2 linked regions of the Caenorhabditis elegans genome follow. The protein of the gene in region 2 interacts with the protein of the main gene of each other region in a pairwise test. Each region holds a gene or a part of one and is shown on either strand. Other genes may lie near its edges.

Region 1 (8,776 bases), on a different chromosome or scaffold from region 2:
ATCCGGGTCCAAAATCTCTGTTTTCACATTAATCTTCGGCGGAAACTCGTCACAATTCGGAGTTTTCTGCAACAAAAAAAAATTAATTTTTTGTCAAATTTTCAGTGAAAATTCGATTTTTTTGCTACCTTCCAGTGTCTCCGGAGACTATCTGGGCTCTGATAGCAATATCCACATTTTTGACATTTATAGGCGTCCGGATTGCGGTGTACAACGATATGATGCTTGAGACGTCGTTCCGATGTGTACTTTTTCGGGCATTCCGGGCAATTGTGCTTCTGAAAATTCGAAATTGTTGGGCGAAATCCATGAAATTGTAGTTTTTAGTCATTTTTATAAGAAAAATCGGGAGAAAATCGGTTTTTTCGGCCGAAAATAGTTTTGGGTGAGGCTCAGGGACTACAAACTACAATTTTCTTAGCCTCAACCAGTTTTGCGTTAGTTTTTGGTGTTTTAGGATTGAAAAAGTGAGTTATAAGCTTAATACATTGCAGTTTTTAGTCATTTTCATATAAAAAAATTGCAGAAAAATCAGTTTTTTGGTCGAAAATGTTTTGGGTGAGGCTAACAGACTACAAACTACAATTTTTCTAGCCTCAACCAATTTTTTTCGTAAAAATTGAAGGTTATTATCGTAAAAAGTTAATAAATATCATGAAATAGCCGTTTTTACTCATTTTTATACAAAAAATTGGGGAAAACCGTTTTTTTTTTGGTCGAAAATGTTTTGGGTGAGGCTAACAGACTACAAACTACAATTTTTTTAGCCTCAACGAATTTTTTAATACGATTTTCAACTGAAAATTAGGTTTTTTAATAGTATAAATTAATTTTTAAGCGAAAATTGAATAAAATCCTATTTAAAATGATTGCGGTTTGTAGTTTGTAGTCTGTGAGCCTCAACCAAACGAATTTTCGTCCTATTGGCTGAAATTTGATGATTTTTCATGTTTTCAGGGCAAAAATTGTTAGAATCGGGGTTTTTTATCAGTACCATTTCACTTTGGCCATCCTCATCATCTTCGTGATCCTCTATTTCTTCCGGATGCTCAGATTTTGGAGAAATTACTCGATTTTCCACGATTTCTTGTGAAAATTCTGGATTTCTAGGATGAAAATGTGATAAATTCGAATAATGAGCTTGTTGCACAGATTGCGGGGGCGAATATTGATTTTTCGGTGAACAATTTTGAGGCACATTTTGCGAATTATTGTCGTAGACCAGCTCATATTCGTCGGTTTTCTGCTCCGCAAACATATTTCTCATTGTAGTGAGCACTTTTGGTCCATCTTCGTCTGATGTGTAGTTTGAGGAACAGGAAATATCCTGAAAAATTGGAAAAAAAAAGTGATTTTGCAGAAATTTTCGGGGAAAAACCTCTATTCCACTTTGTAAATTGAAGTCATCGCCGAAAAGCATGTAGTTTGGACAGGAAAAATCCTGTTTTCTTTCTGTCATCTGAAAAAAAAGCAAATTTAAATTTAAATTATTCAAAAAACAACTATTATCGTTGAAAATTGCTGCTAAAAATTAAATTAAATTAAATTAAATTAACCTACCGTAGCCATTAAAGGCGCATGCTGTGTTCCCTCGAATGGGTTTCTACACGAAATTGGAAAACGTCGGATTTCGGCAGGAATTCTGGAATTTAAAATCACTTTTCTCCAAAAATTAAATATATCGATTCATTTTCTTCACATTACAAACAAAAAAACACGTTCAAGTATCTGAAAATCACACAGAAAGCCGCCGTCAATAAAATTCGGTGGCCGCGTGGCCGTGGACTAGGTTTCGTGTAAAGGAACGGCCATCGACATTTTTTCGATTTAATTCTATTTTAGAATATTTTCAGCGCATTTTTAAAGCTTTTAAATAGAAAATCTAGCTGAAAATTTCGAATTTTTGTTAAAAAATGCTAGTTTCCACCTTTTTCCTCCCAAAAAAAACCAATAAGATCGATATTTCCTGCAGAAAATCACAAAACGAGGGAAATGGAAGATTGGACCAACTATCATCAGGCACAGCCGGCGGAAAGTGGTATGGCGTTGTGATTTTATTGAAAAATTGAATTTAAAATCGAAAAATTTGGCAAAAAAACACGAAAAAATCGATTTTTTTCGAGATTTTCGCGAAATTTTTTTAAATTTATTTAAAAATTAATTTTCGTCTATTTTCCAGTCGACTGGGCCCAGCTGGCCCAACAATGGATGGCGATGCGCGACACAGACGATCGTCGAGCCGGAAATTCACACGATTTCGCTCAAAATCATCAGCTCCCGTGGCATCAGCCACGTCATCCGGGCCCTCCGGCTCATCAGGATTGGGGCGATTGGTCCGCGAATCGGGACGAGCAGTGGAGAGGGCCGCCTGGGCCTTCTGGGCCGTCCGGGCCCCCCGTATATCATAATCAAGGCCCGCCTCGTGGATATCCACCACCACCGCCACAGGGAGCAGACACGTGGCGTGGAGCTCCTCCACCAGCTCACCACGGACACTTTGGACCGCCTGGACATCATTTCCAAGGCCCACCACAACATTTTCCGCCAGGGCCACCAAGGCCGCACTTTCCAGGCCCCCCAGGCCCACATAGACCTCCAGAGCACTACCCAGGGCCTCCAAGACCTCAGGCTCCAGCGGCACCACCACCGAAAAGCCTATTCCCGTCGGCCCAAAAGCCTAAGCCACTTTTTGCGGCGGCTTCAAGTGCTCCAAGCTTCTTCGGAGCACCTCAACGTCCACCACCGCAGCTGCACTTTTTCCAGGAGAGCCCCTCGGTCCAGCACGATTTTCAGCAGCCCGATTTCCAGCCCGATTTCCAGCCCGAAAACTACCAAAATTCCCCGGAACCCCCGGCCCAAGCTGGCCCGAAAGGTGTGCCTCCACCGGCTCCACTAATGGCTTCAGGGCCCACAAACCCGTATGCAATGAACAAAGAGGCCCGGAAAAAACTGCCGGCCTGGATCCTGGAAGGCCTTGAAAAGGCCGAACGGGAGAAGCAAAAGCAGTGGGAAAAAGAGGAAAAGCTGAAGAAAGCGGAAGAAGAAAAAGCCCGGCGAAGAGCCGAAGCTGGAAAGAGCAAATTTGACTCTTCGTCGGATGAAGAGAGCCCGGAAAATGAGAAATTTCCTGTTGGTAATGGAAAATCTGAATATCAGGAAGATGATAATGATTCGGAAGACGATTTGGAGGAGAGACGAGAGCAATTTGTACGGGAAATTCTAAATTCCTGAAATTTCCGCAAAAAAAAACCTAAAAACTACAAAAAATTTGAGAAAAAACGAAGATATTCTAAATTTTTAGAGGAAATTTTTCAAAATTTGAGAAAAAAAACCAATTTTTTGAAAAAAAAAATCCAGCTTTGTAGTTTATAGTCTCTCAGCCTCAACCAATATTTTTGGTTGAGGCTCACACACTACAAACTACAAAAAATTTTGAGAAAAAACCAAAAATTTGTCGAAGATTTTCTGAATTTTTAGAGAAAATTGCTAAAAAAATCGAGAAAAAACCGACGAAATTTGATCAATTTTTGTTGGTTCAGGCTCATGCTCAGACACTACAAACTACAATTTTCGGGTAGCCTCACCAAAATTATATTTTGAACAAAAAAATCAATTTTACAATGAAATTTTTGTATTTCGAGGAAAAATCGTTTCTTTTTTTACTTTTATTTCAAAAAAATGTTGAAAATTTGAAAATTTTAGCCGGCTAGACTACAAACTACAGAAATTTTTTTTTTTAAATTGTATTTTCCCAAGATTTTCTGAATTTTCCAGTGTAACTCCTAAATCCTAAAAATAATTCCTATAAAACACCGAGTTTTTGATAAAATTTCAAAAAATCTATTGGTTGAGGCTATGACAATTTGTAGTTTGTAGCCTCTCAGCCTCAACCAATATTTTGGTTGAGACTCACACACTACAAACTACAATTTTCGGGTAGCCTCACCAAAATTAAATTTTGAAAAAAAAATAAATTTTTCAATACAACTTTTGAATTTCGGCAAAAAAATCGTTTTTTTTTTCATTTTTAATTCAAAAAAGTTTAAAATTTTAGACATTTTAGTAGACATTGGCGTTTTTGATGCCAGCTAGACTACAAACTACATGAATTTAAAAAAAAAAAACAATTTTCCCTAGGTTTTCTCAATTTTTCAGCGTAAACCATAAAAATTCCAATAAAAAACCCAGTTTTTGATAAAATTTACAAAAAAAACATTGTTGAGGCTATATGACAATTTGTAGTTTGTAGTCTCAACCAATTCAAAAATTGGTCGAGGCTCAGACTACAAACTACAATTTTTAAGACAGCCTCACAGAAATTTAAATTTTCAAAAATTCAATTTTTTCAAGATTTTTTAAAAAATTTTCTAAAAAGTTTTGAAATTCGGGTAAAAAAAATTTTTTTGTTTCAAAAATTTTATAATTTTGATGCCCGCTAGACTACAAACTACAAAAATTTCGAAAACAAACCTTAAAATCTTCCCAAGATTTTCAGAATTTTTCAGTCAAAACCTTTAAAAATGCAATAAAAACCGAATTTTTGATAAAATTTCAAAAAATCTATTGGTTGAGGCTCGCGTTTTTGGAGGCTGTTAGACTACAAACTACAGAACTTTTGAAAAAAAAAAATTGAATTAAAAATTAAAAAAGGTCCATTAAGTGGAGAAAAACCTCTTAAAAATTTCAAAAAAAAAATTTTCGAAATTTTTTTTCCAGATACGCTGTGTGAAAACTCTAATGATGAACGTGCTCCTCGAGTCTTCGAATGACGTCATCATGCGTATAATACAAGAAGAGCTCCGTGAGCACGAAAAACTTCAATTTGAACGGAAAAAATTGGCAACTGCGCCGAAAATCATCGGCAACAGCTCAGCGTTGGCGGCTCTCGCGGCTTTTGGTATGGAGAAGCTCGCGAAAATTCGAAATTCGGAAAAAACAATTTTTTTGACCAGAAAATTCGGTTTTAAAAGTTTTTTCCAAGTTTTTAATTTAAAAAAAACCGAAAACTTTAACATTTTTGAAATTTTCTTCCAAAAAGCTATGAAAATCGTATAATTTTTCATAAAAAATTCATAAATTGTTCCAATTTTTCGACGAAATTTTTTTAAACAAAAAAAATTCGATTTTATCGAGTTTTTTGAGCTAAAATTTCAAAAAGTTTTTTAAAAATTGATTTAAAAAATTCGAAAAACGAAAATTTTCAACATTGTCTTCAAAAGTTTCACATTTTTTAAAAACTTTTTTCTAAAATTTTCGAATTTTCCATATTTTTTTTAAATTTAAAACAGTTACAATTTTGAAACAAATCGAATTTTCTGGTTGAAAAATTTGAGATTTTCCGAAAAAAAAAGTAAAATTTTTGATTTTTAAATCGAATTTTTCAAAAAAAAATAGCGAAAATTTAGATTTCCAGAAAATTTTAATTTTATATAAAAATTGTGTTCAAAAAGTTCCTGAAAAGCTCTTCTTTTTCCTAAAAATTCAAATTTTTCAGAAAAAGTTTTCAAAAAAACATTTTTTTTTTTTGGAAAAAATCGGTTTTCAGAAGCTTTTTTAATTAAATATTCGTTATAAAAAACGATTTTCGAACAATGTACCAAAAAAGAATTTTTAGTTTAAAAATTTCAATTTTTTCGATTAAAAATTCCATAAAATGTGAATTTTCAATTTCTCGAAAATTGTAAAACTAAAATTCAAATAAAAAAAGCCTTTTTTTGCAAAAAAAAAGTTGAGTTTTCAGTTAAAAAAAAAAACGTTTTTTAGAGCTAAAATGTCATATTTTTTGAAATTTTATTTCAAAAAATTCAAATTTTTCAAATTTTCCAGGAGACGGTGAGGATAGTGACAACAGCAGTGACGATGGAGTTGGCGACGACATGGAGCCACGGCAGGAGAGCAGTGGCTCGGCGGAGCTAAATGGAGCATCAGGGGCAGCAGAAGCAGGAACACCAGAAGCTGGTGGTGGAGAGTTCAAGGCTCCCGTGGGTATCCCTCGAAAGTTTAGTGTTAAGACAGATGATGTCAAACCATCAGTTAATGATGATGGTGAAGGTGTTGATGATTTACACGTTCCAGGTAAGGTAAACTAATGAAAAATATAAAAATATATTCACTTTTTGTTGAAAAAAATACCATTTTTGCTAATTTTTTCCCCGATTTTAGCGTCAAAAATGTGTTTTTCTGTAGTTTGTAGTCTATTAAAGCGCGAATTTTCAGCCAAAAAACTTCAAAAACCTACTGGAAATCCACTTTTTTGAATTAAAAATTCAAAAATTTCAGGAAAATCTGCAAAAAAAAAATGTTTTTTCAATATTTGTGTGAGGCTATGTTATTTTGTAGTTTGTAGTCTCAGCCTCAACCAATTTTTGAAATAATTGAGGCGCGCTGGAGACTACAAACTACAAGTTTTCTTCACAATTTTCACTTTTTTCCGCCAAATTTGAACTGAAATTTTTTGGGATTTTGGGACATTTGGGATTTTGGATTTTTGGGACAGAATGGTTTTGTAGTTTGTAGTCTCGGAGCGCCAATTTTCAGCCAAAAAAAATAATATTTTATTCCAAAAAACCCACTGGAATTCCACTTTTTTTGGATTAAAAATTCAGAAATTTTCGGAAAATCTGAAAAATTTTGAAAATTCAGTTAAAACCGCTTCTAGAACTCGAAAAATCTATTTTTTAAATCCAAAAAAAAATCTGAACATTCCTGAACATTTGGTGAGGCTTTGCTCATTTTGTAGTTTGTAGTCTGTGAGCCTCAACCAATTTTTGAAATAGTTGAGGCCGGAGACTACAAACTACAAGTTTTCTTCACTTTAGCAGAGATTTTTCGGGAAAATCTCACTTTTTATCTAAAAAATTTCAAAAATTCTTTTCTTTTTTCAATAAAATCTCTGAAAATCCAAATAAAAATCCAAAAAATTTTTTTTTTCTAATTTTGTAGTTTGTAGTCTGTGAGCCTCAACCAATTTTTGAATTGGTTGAGGCTACAAACTACACATATTTCCCAGCCTCAACCTAGATTTCTTCATATTTTACTCATTTTTTAAAGAATACAAATGAAAAGTGTGAATTTTTGAAATTTTCACTCGCAAACGTGTAGTTTGTAGTCAAAATATTGGGATTTTACTATTTTGGGTTAGGCTAAGCTGATTTTGTAGTTTGTAGTCTTCGGCTAAATATTTAGAAATTTCCTTTCAAAAAGTCTGTAGTTTGTAGTTTGAACCTTGATTGAGGCTGATGTGATTTTGTAGTTTGTAGTCATTCTCTAGACTACATAGAACTACACAATCTACACACAAAATTCCGGAAATAATATTCAAATTTTCAGATTCAAAAAACGGCGATAATAAAAAATCGGAAAAATCGTCGTCGGAAAAGAAGAGAGAACGAGAGATGAGAGACGATGAGAAGGAGAGAAAATCGAGTAAAAAGAGCAAAAAACGATCGAAAAGTCGTGAAAAAGAGCAATCTTCATCACGACATAATCACCGATCGAGAAGCCGATCTTCGGAACGGGATCGCCGTCGAAAACGGTCGAGAAGTTCGGAACGTCGGAGGGATCGGGGGGACAGGGATCGGCATAGTCGACGTTGATTTTTATTGATTTTAACGATAAATTATTGATTTTTCCGATTTTTACCGCCGATTTTTTCCACCAATTTCTTGCTCCAAATTCTCATTGTTCAAAGCCGCCCGTTTTTCTGGAAAACTCCCAAAAAATTATTTTTTTGTATTACCTATGATGACATTTTCCCATTGATTTTTTTTTGCTTAATGTATTTTGAAGTTTTGTTTTTTCGTTTTTGGTTTCAGCATATTTCAGAATCGCACAATAAATTCTAATTTCGCGCCTGAATTTTTGGAAAAATAACTAAAATTTGAATTTCCCGCTAAAATATTAAAAATAATTTGAAGTTCGCGCCAAATTTTTTGTTTTGAAAATTCGAATTTCCCGCTGAAATATTTAAAATTTTTGGAAAAATTACTAAAATTTGAATTCGCGCCTAAATTTTTGAAAAAAATACACATAATTTAAATTTCGCACCAATTTTTTTTTTCGAAAATTCAAATTTTTCGCAAAAATCATGGAATTTAACATTTTAATTATTCCGCCAAAATGTTTAATTTCCCTCAAAATTTGAATTCCGCGCTGAAATTTTTGAAAAATTCTATTTAAAATTAGCGCCAAGATTTTGTAAAATTTAAATTTCTCGCTAATAAATTTAAAACACATTGAAAAATTGAAGTTTGAATTTTCCTCAACAGATTGACTAGAATTATCAGTTTTGAACGCCTCTCACGAGACAAAAATCAATGGCCGAGTTTTCCCGAATTTTCTAGGCCATGCAGCAAAGGTCGGTCATGAATTCCTTACACTCAGAATATTATAGAAAAAATACGATCGCACAAAAATAAACAACGACGCAACGACACTCCGCTGTTTTTAAGCCCCGCCCACGATTTCATTTGCACTGAAATGTGGCGGTCGCAGTGCAAATGAAATCGTGGGCGGGGCTTAAAAACAGCGGAGTGTCGTTGCGTCGTTGTTTATTTTTGTGCGATCGTATTTTTTCTGTAATAGAATTATTAACCTTCGATCTATTTATTTCATTTAGCCATAAAAACTATGTGTTATAGTTCTTCTAACTGATATGAATTTGTGCAGAGTATTGGCATGTTTTATCAATTTGTGACTGTTCGAAATTGTTTCAATGTTTTGCTTTTTTAATTTTTTAAACGGCCTGAAATTCGGCCTGGAACGGCCTGAAATTAGT
Region 2 (5,734 bases):
CACTCCCTAATAGTATTGCGTCTACTTTTTTTTTGGTACAGACCCACCTCACTAATTTTGAGATTTTAACAACATTTTTTGCCTACTTTGCAACAATTTGTGGTAAAATTTTTATGAAATTGAAGTTATTGTACCTTTTTGTTGCAATTACAATCAAATTTTCACTTTCACACAAGGTTCGAGTTTTTTCAGAAAAAAAATCAGAAAGCTCAAAGTCAGAAAAATTTTCTGAAAATTAATATTGCACTCCCTAATAGTCTTGCACTCCCTATTAGTATTGCAAGCGGGAAGACCATCGAACAATAGTATTGCAGTCATATTAATAGAAGAAATACGGTATACAATTTTCAAAACTTCGAAACGAGGTTTATATTAGGTCTCCAAATAAGTTCCGGGTCAAAAATCATAACTTTGTTCGCTGTGTATCGATTTTTATGAAACTTTGGGAATTTATGTTATCAACCATGTTCTTTCATTTGACAATAGTCGCAAAAATTTTTGTACACCTCAAGTGTCCTAACTCGGAGCCAATTTTTCCAGGAATTTTTCCTATCTCGCTTCTTTTAACCTTTGAATTGAGGTTTGTGTGCGGATTTTGCTTTGCTTAAAATACATTATTAGAAAACGACAAAAGTTTAGAAAAAAATCCGTCCAAAAAATTTTTTTTAAATATATAATAATCGTTTTAGTTTGAAATTTGAATCTCGAGAAATATTCAAAAAACTCAAAAATTATCCGAAAAAATTATATTTTCTATTAACATTTTGGTGTATCGAAATAAATTGATATGTTTTGTATGTGTAAAAATAGTTCACGCTTGTTTACATCATTTTTGTAGGGAAAATCTAGAACTTTCGACAAAATTTTTTTTGAACATTTTTTGACGACCAACCAAAAAAAAATTTTTTGGACGGATTTTTTTCTAAAATTTTGTCGTTTTCTAATAATGTATTTTAAGCAAGGCGAAATCCGCACACAAACCTCAATTCAAAGGTCTTCTTTTAGAAGCGAGATAGGAAAAATGCCTGAAAAAATTGGCTCCGAGTTAGGACACTTGGGGTGGACAAAAAATTTTGTGACTGATGTCAAATGAAAGATCATTGTTGATAACATGAATTCCCAAAGTTTCATAAAAATCGATACACAGAGAACAAAGTTATGATTTTTGACCCGGAACTTATTTGGAGACCTAATAGATTTTTCACTTAAAAAATACATGTAAGAACTGTGATTTGATAAGCAAACACATACACAAATCCGGAACCGGAAGATTTTAAAATTAGTATTCTCTTTTCTATTTCATAAAACTTTTATAGTTTTGTGTTTAATCACGTTATGAAAAAGATCAATGATCTGAACTTCGTCAAATCTGATTTAGGATATATTTTGGTTGTTCAGCTCGGTTTGTCTGATGTAAATTATTTTTGAAAATTCTACTGAAACACCTAACTGATTTTATTTTTTCAGATAACAAAAAAAGCAGAGACAATGCCGTTTCTTCGAGAGTAACACAAAATTAGCAAAACTATTCAATATTGTCACATGCCGTGTCAATGTCTAGGGAATTGTAAAAATGGGTGTGGACTTGCGAACGTTTATATTCATTGTATACGCGTCGCACCAAATCCATCATAAAAATTGGATAGAAAGAATGAAGAACAGGAGGTTGGGTGTCCCCCGTGGTTCTCAGTCCCACACAGAAAGGAAAATGTGCCAGAGCACATTTTCTAATTGGTCAACGAGAAGAAGGGCGATTCGTCGTACTACTAACACAAGTCCAGCTGCTTCTCTGACCCAGGGAGAAAAAAGATGGGGGGAAATGGTAAATCTAGTTAAAACTGGAGTGAAGTGAATAAAATGCGAATAGTCAATAGGGGTCGAGCATTTATAACTGCGAATATGGCATTGAAACCTATTGAATTGGAATAACAAGTTGGAGAAGCGACGTTTTGCCGGGAGGCGGCAAAGCGGGAAAGGGGAGAGGAACTGGATTTATTCCATTTTTTTCTATTCTTCCAAACTTCCTTTCCCAAATAAATTATGCCTAAACCTTTTAAAAGTGTATAATTTTATAAATATTGTAGTTTGTAAAAAATTATGATCTAATTATTCTAGATGAGTAGAGAAGATACACTTGATTGGATAGTCTCCCATATTTGGATCACGCATGCGTTGTCCTCAAACTAGGGACCGGGAGTTGACGGACGAGGGAAGGGAGATGTGACCTCTTGGTTTGTCTGCGTCCCGTCTTCCACTCATGCTCTCTTTCAATCCACCATACCAGCTATTACTATCTCTACTCTCGTTTTCTTCCGCGTCTCGTTTACTTGTGACTTTAGAAGAGGATCTCTCACCCTCCCCACACCCTCTCCGGCATATATCTACAGCGAACGGGAATACGAAGGGAACCGAACACTTGGAGGATTAGAGAACCTAACCGCATAAAGCATTAAGAGCGGTTCTGAATCTGTCATCTACACTCGAAGGGCCTTATTGTGGGCAGACAATTTCGAATGAGATTGTGACAATTCATCGAAAAGTAGAAGGAACGTTAAAAACAATACATAAAACTTAACATACTGTTTTTCATGTTTTAACATGAACTTTTTTTTTTTGAGAAACTGAGAAATTACAAAATATTAGTTTTATAATACTTTACGTATAATTTATTTTACAATTTCGCCTTATTTTCTTTCAAAACTGAGAGCAGCTTCCTTTTTTTGAAAAATAGAAAAACAAAAGCTGATACTTCAGAAACAATCGTAAACTTTATCAGTACTTTTTTAATGAGTTTCAAACAATAATCATTTTTTTAGGAAAACTTTTGAATCAACAAATATTCATTAGTTTCGTCAAGTTAATATTTTTCAAGGCTGAATTTTTCCAAATGGTATGAAATTATACCATTCAATTTTTTTTTTGAAATCCAATGCCAAACTCAAATGTTGAAATTATATTTGTTTTTAGTTGAAAAGTAATTTTCACAATTTTCAAGCGCAAAATGCTTACCACATGTGAAGAGTTCATTGTCATTGATTTCTTTCCCAGTACTATGTGAATGACCCCTGAAAAACATTTTCTTCTTTATTAGTATATGTTGTTCGTAAAATTAAAATAAACAAAATACCATGGCCTTATAGTTTTTGAGAAGAATTATGAAATGAACTGAACTCACATTTTTGTTAAGTCCTACATGGGAGAATGTTTTGATGTTTTCAAAGTTAGAAAAGCCTGAAAATTATGAAGTTTGGCTTGAATTAAAAAAAAGAAATAAAAAGAAAAAATCGAAGAAGACAAAAAAAAAAGAACATGGAGGAAAAAAGAAAGGACGCGCAATTGGTGTGAAGGTATGTGTCGAGTACCCGGCTGCCCTCTCTTTTCTCATAACCCATCCAGTGACCAGCAGAGCGCGCTTGCATACTTCTCACTCGTTGTTCACTGCTTATTACTGCGCACTTGGTTCAACACTAACGCCTATTCGCTAGTCAAACAATAACAACAGTTCCTGTCAGATAAATAGTACTAAGCTAGAGGAGATTGGAAACGCGGAGTAGAGACTACAAATACTTTGAACTGATTGAACTTATATGCATACGAAATGAATGGATAATGTTTAAACTGGATATAATTAGTTTTTAGTTGTTTTACAAAATTGTGGTGATTTAATAATTAAAAAAAAGTTATGCTATTCGGATATTTGTGTATTCGCAAAAACCATAGTTTTAAACCAATTAACAAATTGTCAATTACAAATCTAAAATCTAACAATTATTGACAAGACCATACATATTAATAAACAAAAAAGTTTTGCATTGTAAAACCAATCAAAACTTGTCGCCGTTCCTTTTTCGCTATGTTTTATACAAATCTGCGATACGAATTCGTATCGGTTGAAAGTGTGGGGATGAAGTGTGAAATGAAACAAAAAGTGTGATCACAAAGAATGGGACGAGAGGCCAGGAGGTACTCAAAACCCCCGCCAATTTTGTCCCATAAAAATTGGAGCGACGAAAGAGTATGGGAATGCAGTTTGAAATAGAAAAGTTGAACAATAGGTAGTATTCAGATTGACGCATTTTTTAAATGGAAATCAAAACTAAAAGAATCAAAATTTTGAAGAAACAGTACGGTATGCCTCTGAGGGTTGGTTGAGTGAATTCTAACTCATTAGAAAATTGCTGTCCTACTATTTTGAAAACAATAAAAGGGCTCCTTAGACTAAAATATGCTGAAAAGTACCTATCAAGTTTTAAATAAGTTTAAAAATTTTTGGAGATTTGCATTGTTTCACGGACTATATAATTGTACATGAAGCACTAATTTTAAATTGTGTGTTTAAGAATAATTTGTTAATTGAGAACAAATTCCATACTTGAAACACTCAATAAGAACGCACTCTAATGCATACAATAATTCTTTAAAAAAACTCCCAAGTTTTAATAATTGCTGACGAAGATGTTTTGGAAAACGTGATCTCCAAGTAATGAATGCTTGGCAATTACAAATAACTTTTTGAAATCAAAAGATTATATGTGGTTGTATTTCTCCATAAAAAAGTGGAATTGTGTGTAGGGTTTTCAAAAGATGAAAATAGGTTTGTTGTTATAACATGCATATGTAATATGACTATGAAACTGTGCTATTTTGCTAGTGTTAGTGATTTTGATGGTGACAAAGTGTTCTATTTTCGATAATTTTTTTTATTTTTCGTCTTTTCTCCTCGTTTAATTGTTGGAAATTACACATTTACATATTAAGTCTACTAAAATTCTTTCACATTTACATATTAAGTCTACTAAAATTTCTCCCATCCTATTTTTATTTAAACCAGTCGTTAAAAAAAATAGCTAAAATAAATCCAAATACGAAAAAAAGTTGAAAGTAAACTTTTGTAGAGTTTTTTGCGTGTCGAAGAACTTTGAAAATAGTAAAGTTTTGTGAAATGCGCAGAACAAAAACTGAAACTAAATGGGAACACACAAAAACACAAGAGAAGACGAACATCGACAAAAAAGTTGGTAGTAGCTGCTGGTTGGCGAGGAGAGGATAATATCCCGAACACGCCAATAGAATGAAGAGGGACAAAAAAGAACACAACAAGATGTCGATGCAAAGGACGAATTATTCCTTTTTTCCTTCCATTTTTGCCATTGCGTTCATTCGAAACAACTTCTGGAAAGGAGATTCCTAACAAAGTCAGGATTGAAAAGAACGACGTAGTACATATCTAGTGAATTTATTGGTTTTTTAAAATTGCATACACATATACCTTAATTTTTTTTATTATAAAACCCAAAAACGTCGCCTCTCATTTAAATTCTGTTTTCCAGTTACAATGTTTTTTTTAATTGAAAAAGAGTGAAATTACCGATATTTTAATTTTTGAAAACTTTTTGAAAGTTTTTATTTAAAATTAATTTTTGAGACGCACATCTGTGTGTTATTTTTTCTATTTTTGTATAGTTCATTTTCATCAGTATTTTTTTGTGTAGGGCCGAATAGCAAAACGCAGTTTTTTTCGAGTTGATAAAAAATATTTTCGAAAAGTATTTTAAAGTTTTTATTATGAAGACACGTTTTGGTTGTTGTTTTAATTTTCAATATGATTTAATAACAAAAATTACAATGTACAAATTCAGTTCATAGCCGGTATCACATTTTCCTCACACTGGTTCTCCGAAACAGATTCGAAATCGTCGATGCTCAAATTATCACTGCTTCCTCCTCCACCAGA

Evidence for each region. Proteins that work in one complex are often made in the same cells at the same time.
Region 1: the proteins of abl-1 (region 2) and rsy-1 interact in a two-hybrid assay, tested with the Caenorhabditis elegans proteins (2 studies listed by BioGRID).

What each region holds. Positions count from the first base shown.
Region 1 is NC_003279.8:11,215,192-11,223,967, reverse strand, and holds rsy-1 (Arginine/serine-rich protein PNISR), read left to right. Parts: upstream 1-1,972; 5' UTR 1,973-1,992; coding exon 1,993-2,038; intron 2,039-2,179; coding exon 2,180-3,207; intron 3,208-4,716; coding exon 4,717-4,897; intron 4,898-5,826; coding exon 5,827-6,075; intron 6,076-7,329; coding exon 7,330-7,595; 3' UTR 7,596-7,791; downstream 7,792-8,776. Other genes in the region: Y53H1A.2 (C2H2-type domain-containing protein), read right to left, coding at 1-66, 129-278, 995-1,327, 1,379-1,459, 1,561-1,569.
Region 2 is NC_003284.9:10,620,970-10,626,703, forward strand, and holds the start of abl-1 (Tyrosine-protein kinase abl-1), read right to left. Parts: upstream 3,221-5,734; 5' UTR 3,178-3,220; coding exon 3,176-3,177; intron 3,066-3,175; coding exon 3,010-3,065; intron 1,739-3,009; exon of another isoform or gene 1,614-1,738; intron 1-1,613. Other genes in the region: M79.2 (Phospholipid/glycerol acyltransferase domain-containing protein), read right to left, coding at 5,636-5,734. UniProt on the Caenorhabditis elegans protein: Functions downstream of migratory protein mig-13 and is involved in Q neuroblast migration during larval development.